2 linked regions of the Lonchura striata genome follow. The protein of the gene in region 2 interacts with the protein of the main gene of each other region in a biochemical or structural test. Links are inferred from orthologs where the notes say so. Each region holds a gene or a part of one and is shown on either strand. Other genes may lie near its edges.

The links.
Region 1: the proteins of PPARG (region 2) and KAT5 form a complex in vitro, tested with the Homo sapiens proteins (2 studies listed by BioGRID, with this or other methods). The link is inferred for Lonchura striata from reciprocal best matches to the Homo sapiens genes PPARG and KAT5.

The regions. Positions count from the first base shown.
Region 1 is NC_134638.1:281,775-289,794, forward strand, and holds the start of KAT5 (histone acetyltransferase KAT5), read left to right. Parts: upstream 1-4,960; 5' UTR 4,961-5,002; coding exon 5,003-5,011; intron 5,012-5,161; coding exon 5,162-5,228; intron 5,229-5,756; coding exon 5,757-5,825; intron 5,826-6,179; coding exon 6,180-6,316; intron 6,317-8,020. UniProt on the Homo sapiens protein: Catalytic subunit of the NuA4 histone acetyltransferase complex, a multiprotein complex involved in transcriptional activation of select genes principally by acetylation of nucleosomal histones H2A and H4.
Region 2 is NC_134614.1:4,878,549-4,886,474, reverse strand, and holds the start of PPARG (peroxisome proliferator-activated receptor gamma), read left to right. Parts: upstream 1-4,834; 5' UTR 4,835-4,901; intron 4,902-7,926. UniProt on the Homo sapiens protein: Nuclear receptor that binds peroxisome proliferators such as hypolipidemic drugs and fatty acids.

The DNA.
Region 1 (8,020 bases), on a different chromosome or scaffold from region 2:
AAATCAATGGGAACTGAAGCTCCAGGGACCCCAGATCACCCCCAGCCCCCCAAAACCACCCCGCAGCCCCCCGAAGCCCACCCTGGTGGGGCAGGTAGCGGAAGTCGAGCGGCGCGCTGCGCTGCCGGTCCGAGGGCCGCTGCAGCTCCATGCGCACGGTGACGGGCGCGCGCAGCGCGGGGTCCCGGAACGGCGGCGTGCGGAACACGATGGCGACCTGGCGGTGAACGTCGGCCTGCGCGAAGGAGCCCTTGGCCTCCCAGCCCTCGGCCGAGAAACGCACCTCGATGTCCTCTGCGGGCACGGGGACACAGTGGGGACACGCGGGGGACACGGACACGGGGACATGGGCATGGACATGGGGACAGAGACACGGGGACGCTGCAGGGACAGGGACACGGGGACAGGGATGGGGACATGGACACAGGAACATGGGCATGGACATGGACATGGGGATGGGGACATGCTGGGGACACCCCGGGGACACCACAGGGACACGGGGACACGGACATGGGGACAGGGACATGGGGGCAGAGACACAGGGATGGGGACAGGGACACGGACACGGGGACAGGGACAGGGACACGGGGACAGGGACAGGTGACAGCGACAGGAACAAAGCCGGGGGACACAGACACCGATATCGCCCTGTTTGGGACATCCCAGCTTTGGGGTGTCCCAGGTTTTGGGGTGTCCCAGGTTTTGGGGTGTCCGAGGTTTGGGGTGTCCCAGCTTTGGGGTGTCCCGGGTTTGGGGTGTCCCGTTTTTCGGCTGTCCCATTTTTGGGGTGCCCCATTTTTGGGGTGCCCCGTTTCGGGCTGTCCCCGTTTTCAGGGTGCCCCGTTTTCAGGGTGCCCCGTTTTTGGGGTGCCCCGTTTCGGGCTGTCCCCATCCCGGGGTGCCCCCTGACCTTTCTGGACCTTGTCACACAGCAGGAAGATCTCGTCCCCGCCCCGGCAGCTCCCGGAGTTGCGGTTCACGCGGCAGATCCGGAGCTCGGCCGTGCTGGGGGCACCTGGGGACAGCGCGGGGCCGCCGTGGGTCCCGGGCCACCCTCGGGTGTCCCCAGGTGTCCCTTGGGTGTCCCAGGGACGTCCCAGGGATGTCCCACATGGGTCTCAGGGATGTCCCCCAGGTGTCCCCAGTGTCCCCAGCTGTCCCCTGGTGTCCCTCAGCTGTCCCCAATGTCCCCCAGGTGTCCCCAATGTCCCCCCGGTGTCCCAGGTGTCACTCAGGTGTCCCCAGGTGTCCCAGGTGTCCCCAGCTGTCCCCGTGTCCCCGTGTCCCACTCACGGTTGTCGTAGATGGGCTGGGACAGGACGGGGGGGAGGGGCTGCAGCCCCCCCGGGCCCCTCACCCACACCTGGAAGCAGAGCCGGACCGCGGCCAGGTCGTACTCGCCCCCGCGCTGCTCCGCCGGCACTGCCCGGTGCAGACCAGTGAGAACCGGTATAAACCAGTACAGACCAGTATAAACCAGTACAGACCAGTACAGACCAGTGTAAACCAGTATAGACCAGTATATACCAGTACAAACCACTAACATACCCAGGTACCCCCAGTGACACCCCCAGGTCATACTCGCCCCTGCGCTGCTCCCCTGGCACTGCCCAGTACAGACCAGTACAGACCAGTGACGCCCCCAGCACTGTCCTCAGTGACCTCCCAGTAATACCCAATCACTCCCAGTTCCCTCCCAGTAACTCCCAGTCCCTCCCAGTTCCCTCCCAGTCCCTCCCAGTTCCCTCCCAGTTGCTCCCAGTTCCCTCCCAGTCCCTCCCAGTCACTCCCAGTTCCCTCCCAATCGCTCCCAGTTCCCTCCCAGTCCTTCCCAGTTCCCCCCCAGTTCCCTCCCAGTCCCTCCCAGTCCCTCCCAGTCACTCCCAGTTCCCTCCCAATCGCTCCCAGTTCCCTCCCAGTCCTTCCCAGTTCCCTCCCAGTTCCCCCCAGTTCCCTCCCAGTCCCTCCCAGTCCCTCCCAGTTCCCTCCCAGTTCCCCCCAGTTCCCTCCCAGTCCCTCCCAGTTCCCCCCCAGTTCCCTCCCAGTCCCTCCCAGTCCCTCCCAGTTCCCCCCCAGTTCCCTCCCAGTTCCCTCCCAGTTCCCCCCAGTTCCCTCCCAGTCCCTCCCAGTCTCTCCCAGTGCTCCCAGTACCGTTGAAGGGGTTGTTGTTGGTGCGGATCCGCTCGGCCACGGCCGCCTCCAGCTCCCGCTTCTTCACGCACTGGATCCCCAAATTCTGGAAACTGCCCCCAAAACTGGGCTGGCTCAGGGCTCCACCTGGATTTTGGGATCCCCCCGAACATTCCGGGGCAGGGATCCCGAATTTTGGGGGTTCCCAGGACTCTTGGCAGGGTCCCGTATTTTGGGCGTCGCCCCCCGTTTTTGGGTGGTCCCACCCGCCCCGGAGGGAGATCCCCAGTATTTTGGGAGATACCACCTGCTCTTCTGGGGGGGTTCCCAAATCTTGGGTGCTCCCACCGCCCCATGGGGGTGTCTCCCGGTTTTGGGGGTGTCCCTGATTTTGGGGGACATCCCAGTTTTGGGGTGTGCCCCCAGCCTGAGGGATGTCCACAGTTTTTGGGGGATGTCCCCGGTTTTTGGGGGGCTGACCCGGGTTTTGGGGCTGTCCCAGTTTTTGGGGGGGGGGATATCCCGTTTTTTTGGGGGATATCCCAGTTTTTGGGGGATGTCCTGGATTTTGGAGCTGTCCCCGGATTTTGGGGTTCTCCCCGGTTTTTGGGGATGTCCCAGTTTTTGGGGGAGGATATCCCGGATTTCAGAATTGTGCCGGATTTTGGGGTTGTCCCAGATTTCGGGGCTGTCCCAAATTTCAGGGTTGTCCCTGGTTTTAGGGATATCCCAGTTTTTGGCGGGGGATGTCCCAGTTTTTGGGTGATATCCCGATTTCGGGGTCCCGTCCTGGTCTGGGTTCCTGTCCCGGATTTCGGGGCTGTCCCGATTTTGGGGTCCCATCCCGATTTCGGGGCTGTCCCGGTTTTTGGGGGGGACATCCGGGTTGGGGTCCCACCTGTGCACGCTGCGCTCGGGGCTCAGCTCGGCCTCGTAGAAGCCGTCCCGGCAGTCCTTGCCCACCAGCTCGTGGGGGTGCGGGCGGTGCGGGGGGTCCTTGGTCACCAGCGACACCCGCACGCGCCCCGGGCCCCGGTAGTTGTTCACCTGCGGGACCGGTTTGGACTGGTCAGCACTGGTTTGGACTGGTCAGCACTGGTCTGAGCTGGGGGGCTCACGGGGATGCTGCAGTGGGGCTGGGGGAGAGGGTGCTGAGCCCCCCCGGCCAGGGATGGGAGAGCCGGGGAGATCAGGGGGGGTCCCAGGCTGTTACTGGTCCATATTGGGATGTACTGGGACACTCACGCGGATGGTGGGGCGCACTGGGGGGGCTCAGGGGGGCACTGGGTGGTTACTGGTCATTACTGGTTTGTACTGGGACACTCACACGGATGGTGGGGTGCCTCCGGGTGCTCTCGCTGCTGTGCTCCCTGGGGCTGGGGGCACTGGGGGGGCTCTGGGGGGCTCTGGGGGGGCACTGAGGGGTCCCAGGCTGTTACTGGTCCATACTGGTTTGTACTGGGACACTCACGCGGATGGTGGGGTGCGTCCGGGTGCTCTCGCTGCTGTGCTCCCCGGGGCTGGGGGCACTGGGGGGGCTCTGGGGGGCTCTGGGGGGGCACTGAGGGGTCCCAGGCTGTTACTGGTCCATACTGGTTTGTACTGGGACACTCACGCGGATGGTGGGGTGCGTCCGGGTGCTCTCGCTGCTGTGCTCCCTGGGGCTGGGGGCACTGGGGGGGCACTGGGGGGGCACTGAGGGGTCCCAGGCTGTTACTGGTCCATACTGGTTTGTACTGGGACACTCACGCGGATGGTGGGGTGCGTCCGGGTGCTCTCGCTGCTGTGCTCCCCGGGGATGCTCCCGGCCGAGCGCCCCTCGCACTTGTAGCGGAACCTCATCCCGCGCTGCCGCGGCTGCTCCAGGATCTCCACGAACGGCGCCGCCCCCCCCGCCTCTGGGGGGGCACGGGGGTCCCGGGGGGTCCCGTCAGCCCCTCCGCACCCCCCCCCCACCCCCGGGACCCCCGGGGGACCCCCCCCCGCCCACCCGGCCCCACTCACCTGGAGCGCCCCAGTCCTGCAGCAGGAAGGGCAGGAGGTCTGGGGGGGTCACTGGGGGGCAAAGGGGAGGGGGTCGATTTAATGGGGGGGGTCGCATTAATGGGGGGGGTCGCATTAATGGGGGGGTCACATTAATGGGGGGATTCACATTAATGGGGGGTCGCATTAATGGGGGGGTCGCATTAGTGGGGGGGTCGCATTAATGGGGGGGTCACATTAATGGGGGGTCACATTAATGAAGGGGGTCGCATTAATGGGGGGGTGGCATTAATGGGGGGGTCGCATTAATGGGGGGGTCGCATTAATGGGGGGGGTCGCATTAATGGGGGGGTGGCATTAATGGGGGGGTGGCATTAATGGGGGGGGTCGCATTAATGGGGGGGTCACCTAAAGGAGGGGTCACATAAGGGGGTGTCACATTAAGGGGGGTTCGCATTAACGGGAGGGGTCACTTTAACGGGGGCGGGGGTCTTCCCCCAAAACCCCCTCCCCCTTTAAACCCGCCCCCCCCCCCTTAAAGGGCCCGCACCCTCCGCTCACCCCGCGACGTCACTCGGGGCGGAACGGTCCCAAAACCGCCGCGGGGGGGGTCAGCACTCACCGTCCTCCATGGCGGGGGTCGGGGGGTCCCGGGGGTCCCGGGGGGGTCCCGGGGGGGTCCCGGGGGCAGCGGGAAGGGCGGGGGGGGGGCCCCGCTCGCGCCGCCGCTGGCGGAAGCGCCGCGCCCCACGTGACGCGGCTGCCGGGAAAGCCCCGCCCCCTCCCGCGAGCGCTCCCGCCAACCGGGGGGCGGGGCGCAGGCGCGGAGGGGGCGGGGCCGCGTCCCGGAAGCGCGTCGGGCCGGCCGGAAGCGAAGGCCGGGAGGAGAATGGCGGAGGTGGGGAGCGGGCGGGGGGGGGCAGCGCGGAGGGGGCTCGGGGAGCCGCCCGAGGGGCTCCGGGAGCCTCCGGACGGGTTCGGGGACCCCCCGAACCCCCCGCGGGGGTTTTGGGGCCCCGCCGGCCCTGACGAGGCCCCGCCCCCGCAGGGGGAGGTGTCCGAGGGCTGCCGCCTGCCCGTGCTGCGCCGGAACCAGGACAACGAGGATGAGTGGCGTGAGCGGGGCGGGGCTCAGCGCGGGGGCAGCCAATCAGGGCGCGGGGGCGGGGCTAAGGGAAAGGGCGGGAAGCGGCGGGGGCGGGGCCTCCTGAGGGGGCGGGGCCTGGCCCGGGGGGGTCGGGGGTCCTGGGGGGTTTGGGGTTCATGAGGGGGTCCTGGGGGGTTTGGGGTTCATGAGGGGGTCCCGGGGGAATTTGGGATCCCTGAGGGGGTCACTGGGTGGGTTGGGGTCCCTGAGGGGATCCCTGGGTGGGTTTGGGGGTCCCTGGGTGGGTTTGGGGGTCCCTGGGTGGGTTTAGGGTCCCTGAGGGGGTCCCTGGGGGGTTTGGGGGTCCCAGGAGGGTTTGGCAGTCCTAAGTGGGTTTGGGGGTCCCTGGGTGGGTCTGGGGGTCCCTGAAGGGATCCCTGGGTGGGTTTGGAGTGCCTGGGTGGATGTTGGGGGTCCCAGGGGGGTTTGGGGGTCCCAGGGGGGTTTGGGGGTCCCAGGAGGGGCTGTGTGGTGACCCCCACCCCCCCGGTTTCAGCGCTGGCCGAGATCCTGAGCGTGAAGGACATCAGCGGCAGGAAACTCTTCTACGTGCACTACATCGACTGTGAGCGCGACACGGACACGGGACACGGGGACAGGGACACGGGGGGACACGGGGACGGGGACACAGACACGGGACAGGGACACAGACACGGGGACACGGGGGGACACGGGGACAGGGACACAGGGACATGGGGGACACTGGGATGGACACTGGGGTGGCACTGGGATGGACACTGGGATGGGCACTGGGGTGGTCACTGGGGTGGCATTGGGGTGGACACTGGGATGGACACTGGGGTGGCATTCTGGTGGACACTGGGGTGGCATTGGGGTGGACGCTGGGCTGGCAATGGGCTGGCACTGGCCTGGCACTGCCACCCCCCGTGCCAGCCCGCCATGTCCCCGCTGTCCCCAGTTAACAAGCGCCTGGACGAGTGGGTGACCCACGACCGGCTGGACCTCAAGAGGGTCCAGGTGCCCCGCAAGGAGGCCAAGACGCCCACCAAGAACGGCCTGCCCGGCTCCCGGCCCGGCTCCCCCGACAGGGACCCGGTGAGCCCCGGGACACGGGGACACGGGGGGACCTGGGGGGACACCTGGAGGGGACACAGAGACCTGGTGATGGATACGGGGACATGGGGGGACACTGGGGACACTTGGTGACACGGGGAGGGGATGGGGGGAAACGGGGGATGAGGAACAGCGGGAGGTCGGGTGACATTGAGGGGACACCGGACGGACAGAGGGGTCTGGGGACAGGGGACACGGAAGGGACAGGGCTGAGGAGGGGGTGGGACAGGGACAGAGTTTGGGGACACGGGCGAGGGACACCAAGGGACAGGGCAAGGACAGGGGCCAGCCTCGGGGACCGAGCACTGAGGGGACACACGGGGGGGACACGGGACAGGGGACACGTGGAGCCGCTGGGGACAGACCTGGAGTCCCCAAACCCCCTGGTGACGGGGACACTCGCCCCCCACAGCAGGGACGTCCCCTGGGGGGTGGTGACATCCCCAGGACACACCCAGGGGCCACCCCGGACCCTTGGGGACATCCCCAGCCCCTTTAGGGGACCCTGGGGACATTTCTGACCCCTTTAAGGGACCTTGGGGACACCCTCGACCCCTTGGGGACACCTGCAGCTCCTGTAGGGGACCTTGGGGACATCCCCAGGCACTCTCTGGGGACCTTGGGGACATCTCTGACCCCTTGGGGCCACCCCTGACCCCTCTAAGGGGACCCTGGGGCCACCCCTGACCCCTTGGGGACACCCCTGACCCCTTGGGGACACCCTTGACCCCTCTAAGGGGACCCTGGGGACACCCCTGACCCCTTGGGGACACCCCTGACCCCTTGGGGACACCCTTGACCCCTCTAAGGGGACCCTGGGGACACCCCTGACCCCTTGGGGACACCCCTGACCCCTCTAAGGGGACCTTGGGGCCACCCCCGACCCCTGGATGCCACCCTGTCCCCCTTCAGGAGCCCTTGGGGCCACCAAGGGCCGTCCCCGGGAGGGGTCCCGGGGTGGCGGGAGGGTCCCCGAGCCGCGGTGGCTCCGTCCCCTGCGCGTGCCCCTAAACCCTCCTCTTCCTCCCGGCGCAGAGGAAGAGCCTGGAGCTGGCGCTGCCGGTGGCCCCCGCCAGCGGGAAGAGTTTGCCGGGGCCACCGGGGCCAGCGGCGGGGCCACCGGGGCCAGCGGGGCCAGCGGGGCCAGCGGGGCCAGCGGGGCCGGGGCCCATCACGCTCCGCTTGCACCTGCCCAAGGAGAGCGAGGCCGAGCCCCCCCAGCGCCCCACGGTAACCCCCGATGGCCCCGGCGGCCCCAGGGTCCCCAAATGTCCCCAAACGGCCCCAGGGTCCCCAAATGTCACCAGGGTCACCAAATGTCACCAGGGTCACCAAATGTCACCAGGGTCCCCAAATGTCCCCAAACGGCCCCAGGGTCCCCAAATGTCACCAGGGTCCCCAAATGTCACCCAGGTCCCCGAACGTCCCCAGGATCCCCAATGGCCCCAAATTTCACCAAATGTCCTCAATGGCCCCAAATGTCCCCAAATATCCCAAATGTCCCCAAATGTCCCCAGGGTCCCCAGCTGGCACCAAAAGTGGCCCCGGAGGTGGTCCCTGGCAGGTCCCGGTTTTGTCACCCTGTCCCTGTCCCCGGGGTGTCCCCTGAGCCTCCCCTTCCTCGGGCCTACTGGGATGGACTGGGGGGGACTGGGATGGACTGGGATGTTCTGGGGGGGGACTGGG
Region 2 (7,926 bases):
CTTTCTCATACTCTTACAAGGAAAACAGAGTCCTCCTCATGAGCAAATGTTTAATTGAAACCTGGAAGCAAATTTCTCCAGACATTTTAAGTTAAATCTATATTTTTGAGGTTTTAGTTTTTTACTAGAATCATTGAATTGCTGTATTATAACAGCAAATTATCCAAAAGGAGTTACTTTAGGAATATGGTTGTGATCTGCTGACACAAATATCTCTTATGAGCATAAAACTATTGTACAGACAGCAATGACTTGTCTCACAGTGCTTTAGCAATGCAACATAATTTCTTTTTTATAAATTAGTAAAATGAGACAGAGCTCAGTGACTCCAGTGACCCACAGGAAGTCAGTGACACAACCAGGAATAGAAGCAAGACCTCTCAGCAGCTCAGTCCCATGCTTTAACCACAACCCAGCCACCTCCTTCCCATCTCAGATTAGCACAACCCCGAGCCTTGGTTGCATCAGCTCCTCATTTCAGATGTCTAAGCATGTATAATTGTAGAAATCTGGATTTCTGAAGTTAAGTTACGTTCATAAATCTGTCTTAGCTCAATCACCCAAGAAATTTGGATAAACTGGTTCTAAATGAGGCTCAAAATGATCTCTTGGTTGCTTTAAAAGGATTCCTTCAGAAATGAATTTTGGATGGATTAACATCTGACAGATACCAGTATGTGCTTGAGCTCCTTATTCCTATATTTTCTTTTACCTGCTAACTGTCTGTGATGTGCAATTGGGGCCCATTTAATCAGAATGCAATATCATATTCAACCACAGAAGAGCCAGACAGTCCTAGAGAGGAAGTTATTCCCTCCAAGATGAAATCAAAGTTAAGAGTTGGGGGGAGTCTGGAGGTCAGGAAGAAAACCATTACAATTTAGAGGTAGGCAGGCTGGTGTGATCTTGGCTTTCATGAATTTAAAGCAGACAAGGTTTGGATTTTTTTCTCTTTTTATCCAAGCCTCGAAGTTCAGGCAAAGGAGGCTCATTTTTAAGGGGTTCTTGTTTTGACCCGCTCTGCAGTTATCTGTGAAAAATCTGCATCGTGCCTGCCTCTATCCCTCCTGCTGGATCCCGGGAGAAACTCACCCAGCACAATCCTGTACTCAAGGAATGCAGTTTATACCCCAGGTTTTGCCATATATCTGTGTAAAATGCTACTGATAGCAGCTGAAACTCTGAATTCCCTTCAAGTAAAGAGTGTGCAAGCTGTAGATAGGAGTGTGGTGTGATATTATGACTTACTTTTTAAAAACATGCCTTGCCAGACCAAAAGCTGCCAGTAAAGACAGAATGAGATATGCTGAGGCAAATAAGATATGCTTTTTTATCAATAAAAGGACACCAGATATATGAATTAAAATATTGCATTGCCCAAGAGAAAGAACACGGGGTAACTTTAAAAAAAGGCAGCAATACAGGACATTTTTAACCTTTTTAAACTCCATTCCTTTAAAGCAATGCAATTTGCACAATCAGAACTTGCTGCTCAGGCTGTCAGACTTCTGGCTGCACTCTCAGAGCAGGAGATTGCCCTCTAGATGTTAAAGGTTTGGCTACTTCTCCATTCCATCCCACAGCACCAGCATAGGACACACTGCAAGATTTTAAACTTGAGTAATGCAGCCAGAGACTGAGCCCAAACCCAGGGGAAACATAAAAAGTCAGTAAAAGAAGGAATTTGTGTCTTTGCAGAGATGGGAAGGAGTAGAAATCCTTGCAAGGCTGCCACTCTTTTCAAGCCAATTGTAAAACTCACAGCATCACCTCCAATAAATTAGTTTTTCTAGCCATAAACACCTACCTGGAATTCCTTAGAAATTGTTGCACAGAAATTCCTTCACCAAGATGGAAAAGAGAAATGAAACCACTCAGGGGAGGTTATTTTGTCATTGCTAACACCCTTATCCATCTGGAGATTCCACAGAGTACTCATTTCAGTTTCTCATCTCAGTGAGAACTATTTTTGCCATATGATTCAATTTCATCTACTTCGAATTTTCTGAATAATTGAAACACATAATGTACAGTCAGTCAGTCATAACTGCAAGCAGAAATAATTTTTTTCAGATGCAATAAATGCTTCAAAAAGACTCACCACGAAAAATGGGCTGATTAAAGTTAGTTTAAAATGCAGTTCTTTCAGATGAAAGGAATTAACTGATGCCTTTATACCCAACAAGAAAAACAGAGTATAATTGATCTTGTGTGAAGGCAAATTATCTTCTAATTTTAAAACCAGAACTGATGCTGAGAGAGTCTTTTCTGCTTCTCTTTGAACTTAGGGGAGAACTGCCCATGGATCAGCAAGGCCTGAGCCTGACATTTCACTCTTGTTTCATAACTCTGAGAGCTCCCAGCCAAGCTTAGGAATCCTCACAGATAAGGAGGGGAGAAAGTCTGGATCATCAAAAACTGCACAGTCAAACAATGCAAACAAAAACTTATGAGAAGCTGATAAATGTCTTTATTATGACCATTTCATTACAGTATAAAGCAACTTGATTACAGAATAGATAATATATTTGTAGTCTGTAGTATTTCTTTACCAATACAGAAATGATTGGCTTTCTCTGAGAAAAAAAAAAAAAAAATCCACTCTTTGTTAAGGAAAAAAAGAAAAACAAAAAACAAAAAACAGATTAATTCAAATTATAAATAAGGCATACTTTTAATTACCAGAGAAAATGTATGGGCTCTTCATCTTGTCATTCTTCAAACTAAGATTAGCTGTCCAAAAGAAACATTTAATGAGATATTAAATCCTAACTAGAAATCCGTGTTAAGCAGGAAATCAGACTAAAGGATCTTTTCCTTTCCTGTCTCAATCTGCTAAAATGCATATTTACAAAATCTAAGTAATTTTTACGTAAGTTATCGTTCTGGTTTTGCTTTATGAGTTCTGTTCAAAAGGTGAACTCAGTAAAGAAAATAATGCTTAGAACAAAAATAGACTGATAGTGTATTTGTAATATTCCTGTGAAAGCTGTGTTTGGCTGGTTTCTCTGGACTGACTTAGAGATATCTGTCTCACCCATACAATTTAATAAAAATCCAAACTGTGCTTTGTATTTCTGCCTTTATTAAAAGCCTGGGCTCAAAGCAGGACTGCACAGTTCCAACTGGATGTTATCAATACCTTCCAATTTTTGGAATGCTTCCAGTTGAGCGGAGTTTGAAAACGTTTGCAGGTTAAATTTTAGGGAGGGATCCCAAAGGTTTGATTTTTGGGGAGGGATCCCCTTTTTTCAGACATTTAAGCTAAATGGGGAATTCTCCAGCAGCAGAGCAGCAGTTCTGTTCTCACCAGGGCTAAATCAGAACTCTGTGAGGGTCCAGCTCAGATCCTTCTCCTTTTAATTTTCTGTTGAAATTCTACTTCAGCTCTTGCAGTACAGTGGTAAAAATACTAGTAACCAAGGTATTTTAAACCTCTTTGTTAAGATTGTTTTGCCCACATTTGCCTCTTTGTTCATCCATGGTAATTCTGAGGGTTTGTTTTACTTGTTTGCAGGACCTGGCTTCTAATTCTGAGCCAGGGTATTACTGGAATAGGTTATTACTGCAGTATGTTAAAATAATTTTTAAAATACCCAACCCAAACAATAAAAAAGAACCACTTAAAAAAAATATTTCCACATTTCCAAGGCGAAAAAAAATTCAGATGAAAGGGAAAAAGCAGGAATTGAAAGAAAAAATCCTTGATCTGTCAAGACAGAGGTAACACCTCAAGCCTATACAAATAGACAGATAATTCTCATAAAAATTAAGACAAGGCTTCAAGCCTCTGCAGACAGAGAGATTGTTCTCATAAACAAAAGGCTGGAGGCAAAGTTAGTATCTGTAGGTAGTCCAGGTATTTTGACGTGTTCAACCCTAATCTATAAATTGCCTTCAGTATACAAATAATAAAGCAAATGTGGGCTCTCTTTCAAAATGCTTGATGACTAAGAATAATGAGGCAAATTTGGGATCCTCTCAGCCTTCCAGTGATGTCCAAGGGATCAGGAGTTTTTCAAGATAAACTGTTGTATCCCGGGGCACCTGGAGTTCCAGGATGACTCTCTAAAGCCTGTTGATCTTATGCCTTTTTTTTCCACATCTAACTTCTTTTTCAAAGCCTCAGAGGCTGAGATAGAGGAGGTGACAAGCTTGTTTGGGCTTGCTGCCTCTGGAGAGGTACCGAGCACAGCCTATAGCGCTCGGCTCTGCATTCCTGGGAGGGGGGAAGAGCGCCCAGAGATAATCTCAAGCGAAAAAAAAAAAAAAAAAAAAAGAAAGAAAAAAAAGTGAAAAAGAATTCGCTTTACCTCCGTTAGTGCTAAGAACCTTTTCAGAAAAGCCTTTACTCCTGTCACAGCAGGACACAGCCTGACGTGAGGCGACCCAGCCAAGCAGGCAGCGCAGAGCGGAGCTGGCTGCAGCATGGCAAGGCAAAAGAGAAAGCAGCCGGCAGGCGGAAAAAGTGAATTTTCAGTTACGGGAGATTACGGGGAGCAGAGATCAAACTCCAGCTGCGCTGCGGGGCCGCGCTCTGCCCTCGGCCACACGCGGCTGCTCCGGCTCCGCGGCCGGGCCGGGCCGGCCGGGCGGCCTGAGGGGACAGCGGGGCACGAGCGGCTCCTCCTCCTCCTCCTCTCACTGCCCCGCTGCCTCTCCCGGCCCGCTCCTCTGCGCCATCCCTGCGGCCGCCCCCGGTCCCCATCCCCATCCGCTCCCCGTCCCTTTCCCTGCCCGGCCCCGCTCGCCGTGGGCCGGCGGAGGCGGCGCCGGGGGGAGGCGGGCCCTGCCCGGGAGGCCGGGCCGAGCGGGGGAGTTTATCCCGCTGGAAGGGAACGGCAGCTCCCGCTGAGAACTGACAGCGCCGGGGCAGTGCGGCTGCGGGCACCGGCCCCGAGGTGAGGGCGGCGCGGGGCTCAGGGAGCCGCGGGCAGCGCGGGCAGCGCGGGCAGGGCCGCCGGGGTGCGGGGTGCGGGGATGCCTGGGTGCGGAGTGCCGGGGTGCGGGGTGCGGGGTGCGGGGTGCCGGAGTGCCGGAGTGCGGTGTGCCGGGGTGCGGGGTGCCGGAGTGCCGGAGTGCGGGGTGCGGGGTGCCGGGGTGCGGGATGCGGGGTGCGGAGTGCCGGGGTGCGGGGTGCGGGGGTGCCGGGATGCGGGGTGCGGGGGTGCCGGGATGCGGGGTGCGGGGTGCCGGGATGCCGGGGTGCGGGGTGCGGGGGTGCCGGGATGCGGGATGCGGGGTGACGACGTGCCGCGCTCCGGCCGGGGCAGCCCGGGCGCTGTGTCCATGGTGCTGCAGCGGGTGGCGGCGGAGGATGCTCGGCGGCGGAGGGGCGATGTCCCGCCCGCAGAGCCGGAGGTGATGGGGAGCGCGGATGGATGGGTGGATGCGCTGCGCGCCGTCCATCCCTGCCGCCCGTGCGGGAAGCTCCGCCAGGGCAGTGCTGAGCTCACCTGGCTGCTCTCGTAATGAATGAACAGCACCTTTTTTTTTCCCCCCTCAATTTCCCAATCGCAGAAAGTCGGGGAGCCTCTCACAGCCTGCAACAACTGAGATGCTATGTTGAAATATATTGTGTCTTGATGGCATGCCTCAGGTTCGCAGGAGCGTTTTGTAATCTTCCTGGTGTCATTTCTCCCCAGGGTATTCTGCAGCTAGAGAGTGCAAGTTCCTGTGGTGTTGTAACTTTGTGGCCCCGTGTACACACGACAATACTATGCTGACTTAACAGGGATGCGTTCATTAATATTAGTGATGTAAGGCTGGTATTTCTTGTGATCAAAAGCTCAGGGAATTACCAATTTCTGGATGTCCTTTGGAGTTTAGGTTCCTTTAAATCAGATGGATTGGTTTTAATTCTCCTTGAAATAACCAGGGGTTTGGATTTAGATTTGTGACTTGCTGTCCCATCTGTGAACAAGCTTTTGCTGTAGAGCACTGTTACAATGTTCCATTTAAAAATATCTATTTTCTGGTAGCAATTAGTCTATCATTTAATAAGTAATTTACCTTTTAAAAGGTTACTATGATTTGTTACTAGTTAACCAAAAATTCCCAGTGTACACCAAGCAATTGTGACATGATACTGAGTGCTCGCCTTTGAAAAGAAGTTTCATATGGTGTGCTCTCCTTAATAGCAGAATTTGGTGCATCAAGTGATGTGTTTGACATCATTATTCACTTTGGCTGTCACAAAAAAAAAAAATTGCTGCAAAAATTGCTGAGAGATTTAATTATGAGATTACAAGAAATCACTCCTAGCAGTGTGTTAAGGCATGTGGCACAATATAAGCATGGGCTTGTCAAGGGGAGAGAGAGCTGAAAAAAAATAGTTGGCACTGACTTTGAATGATAACCAATCAGAAATATAATATAAGGTATTTTTACACAGGCAGCTTTTGAATTTGAATGTTTTTAGGCATCAGTTTTGTAAAATATCTCACTAACTTGTAGTGGTTCAGAGATTCTGTACTTCTAAACAGCCTTAAGATGGTCTGTGTTTCTTAGAAATGCCAAAATCCTGGATAATGCAATGTATTTAACATCAGCATTCAATGAAACTTCCATTAGAACACAGAATATACAACTAATACATTTTTCTGATATAAATTTGTTTTGTATAATGAATCCTGAAATGAAGGCGGTGATATATTAGAATTTAGTTGAAGGATATTGAAGCTAAGCCTTTTAACCTTCCTTATGGGACTGATAAATGCACCCCTTATCAGCAGTGCTTTTGAATCTGACTCTTTTGTGAACTTTTAAAATAACCGTAAGTCCATTTCTAAGTTGATAAATTTAGGCATTGTTTCAATTACTTTTAGTGTAATCTCCTCCTTATAGTAATGGCTAATAAAATGAATTTTGAAAACAATTTTATTGTAAAAACAAGAAAAAATTAAAAGTAGAATGAAAAATCTGTCTTGTACAAAGGTGGACCAAATAATGAAAAGTAAAATTAATACTTTTTTTCACCTTGATTGGTGAGGACAACTTCAGGTTTTTTTAAATGTAATCTGCTCAGAGTGGAGTTGAATATCTTTCCTAGCCCTTTTCAGTAGCCTAATAGTGAATCAGTAATTGTGTCTATTTGATATTCAGAATCTGTGTTTCTTTTACAAGCTTTTTGACGAGGATTATTCCCATAATAATCACGCAGTAAAAGTTTCCAGTGCAGTTACTCAAGAGGAATCATCCTACAATTACAAATTCTCCATGAGTCTTTTGAAGTCTTGGATAAAATATTTTCCATTAGTTATTGCTACTAGGTTCATTTTTTAATCACTAATAGGTTTATTAAATCCAGCATGATGTTAGATGATAAGTGCTAATTATTTCATTCTGTATTTCTAGTTTTTTAACAGCAGGATCTGGTTTTCAGGTACTTTATGCCAAATGTTCTCTGTGTGTCAGCTCACTTTTTGTGAACAAGAGGAAGAGTTAGAAACAATCAAAAGCAAGAGAACATTGATGTACTCAAGTCCCACTCCTCACAAACGGGAGCTGGGGGTTCCCAGTAAGAGATCAATTTAAAGGACTTCATTTACAGAGTACCTGGGGAGAAAATCTCCTCCTTGCCCCGGCTTTTTCCCTGTGGGGGCTTTTCCAAGGCAGAATGAAAAATGGAAAAGCCGTAAGATTTGTCTTTGGATTGATATGAACCATCAATTGATTCCTACATTAAATGATAAACCTTTTCTATTTCTTTTGTCTATTCCCCCTTCCACTTTTTATTTTCCACAAAGGGAAGATCCCAGGGAGTTTTTCCAGTTGTGCTTTCTTTTAAATGTAGGGTAGTCCACTTTTCCCAGAGGTGCTGCTTTCAGGTTCCAGGGACAACGTAGAAAATGCTGGTGCTAAGCAAATTATCACCCTGGTACTCAGCCCTGTGGTGAGTGGGCTTGGGATACTCCCAAGTCCTGC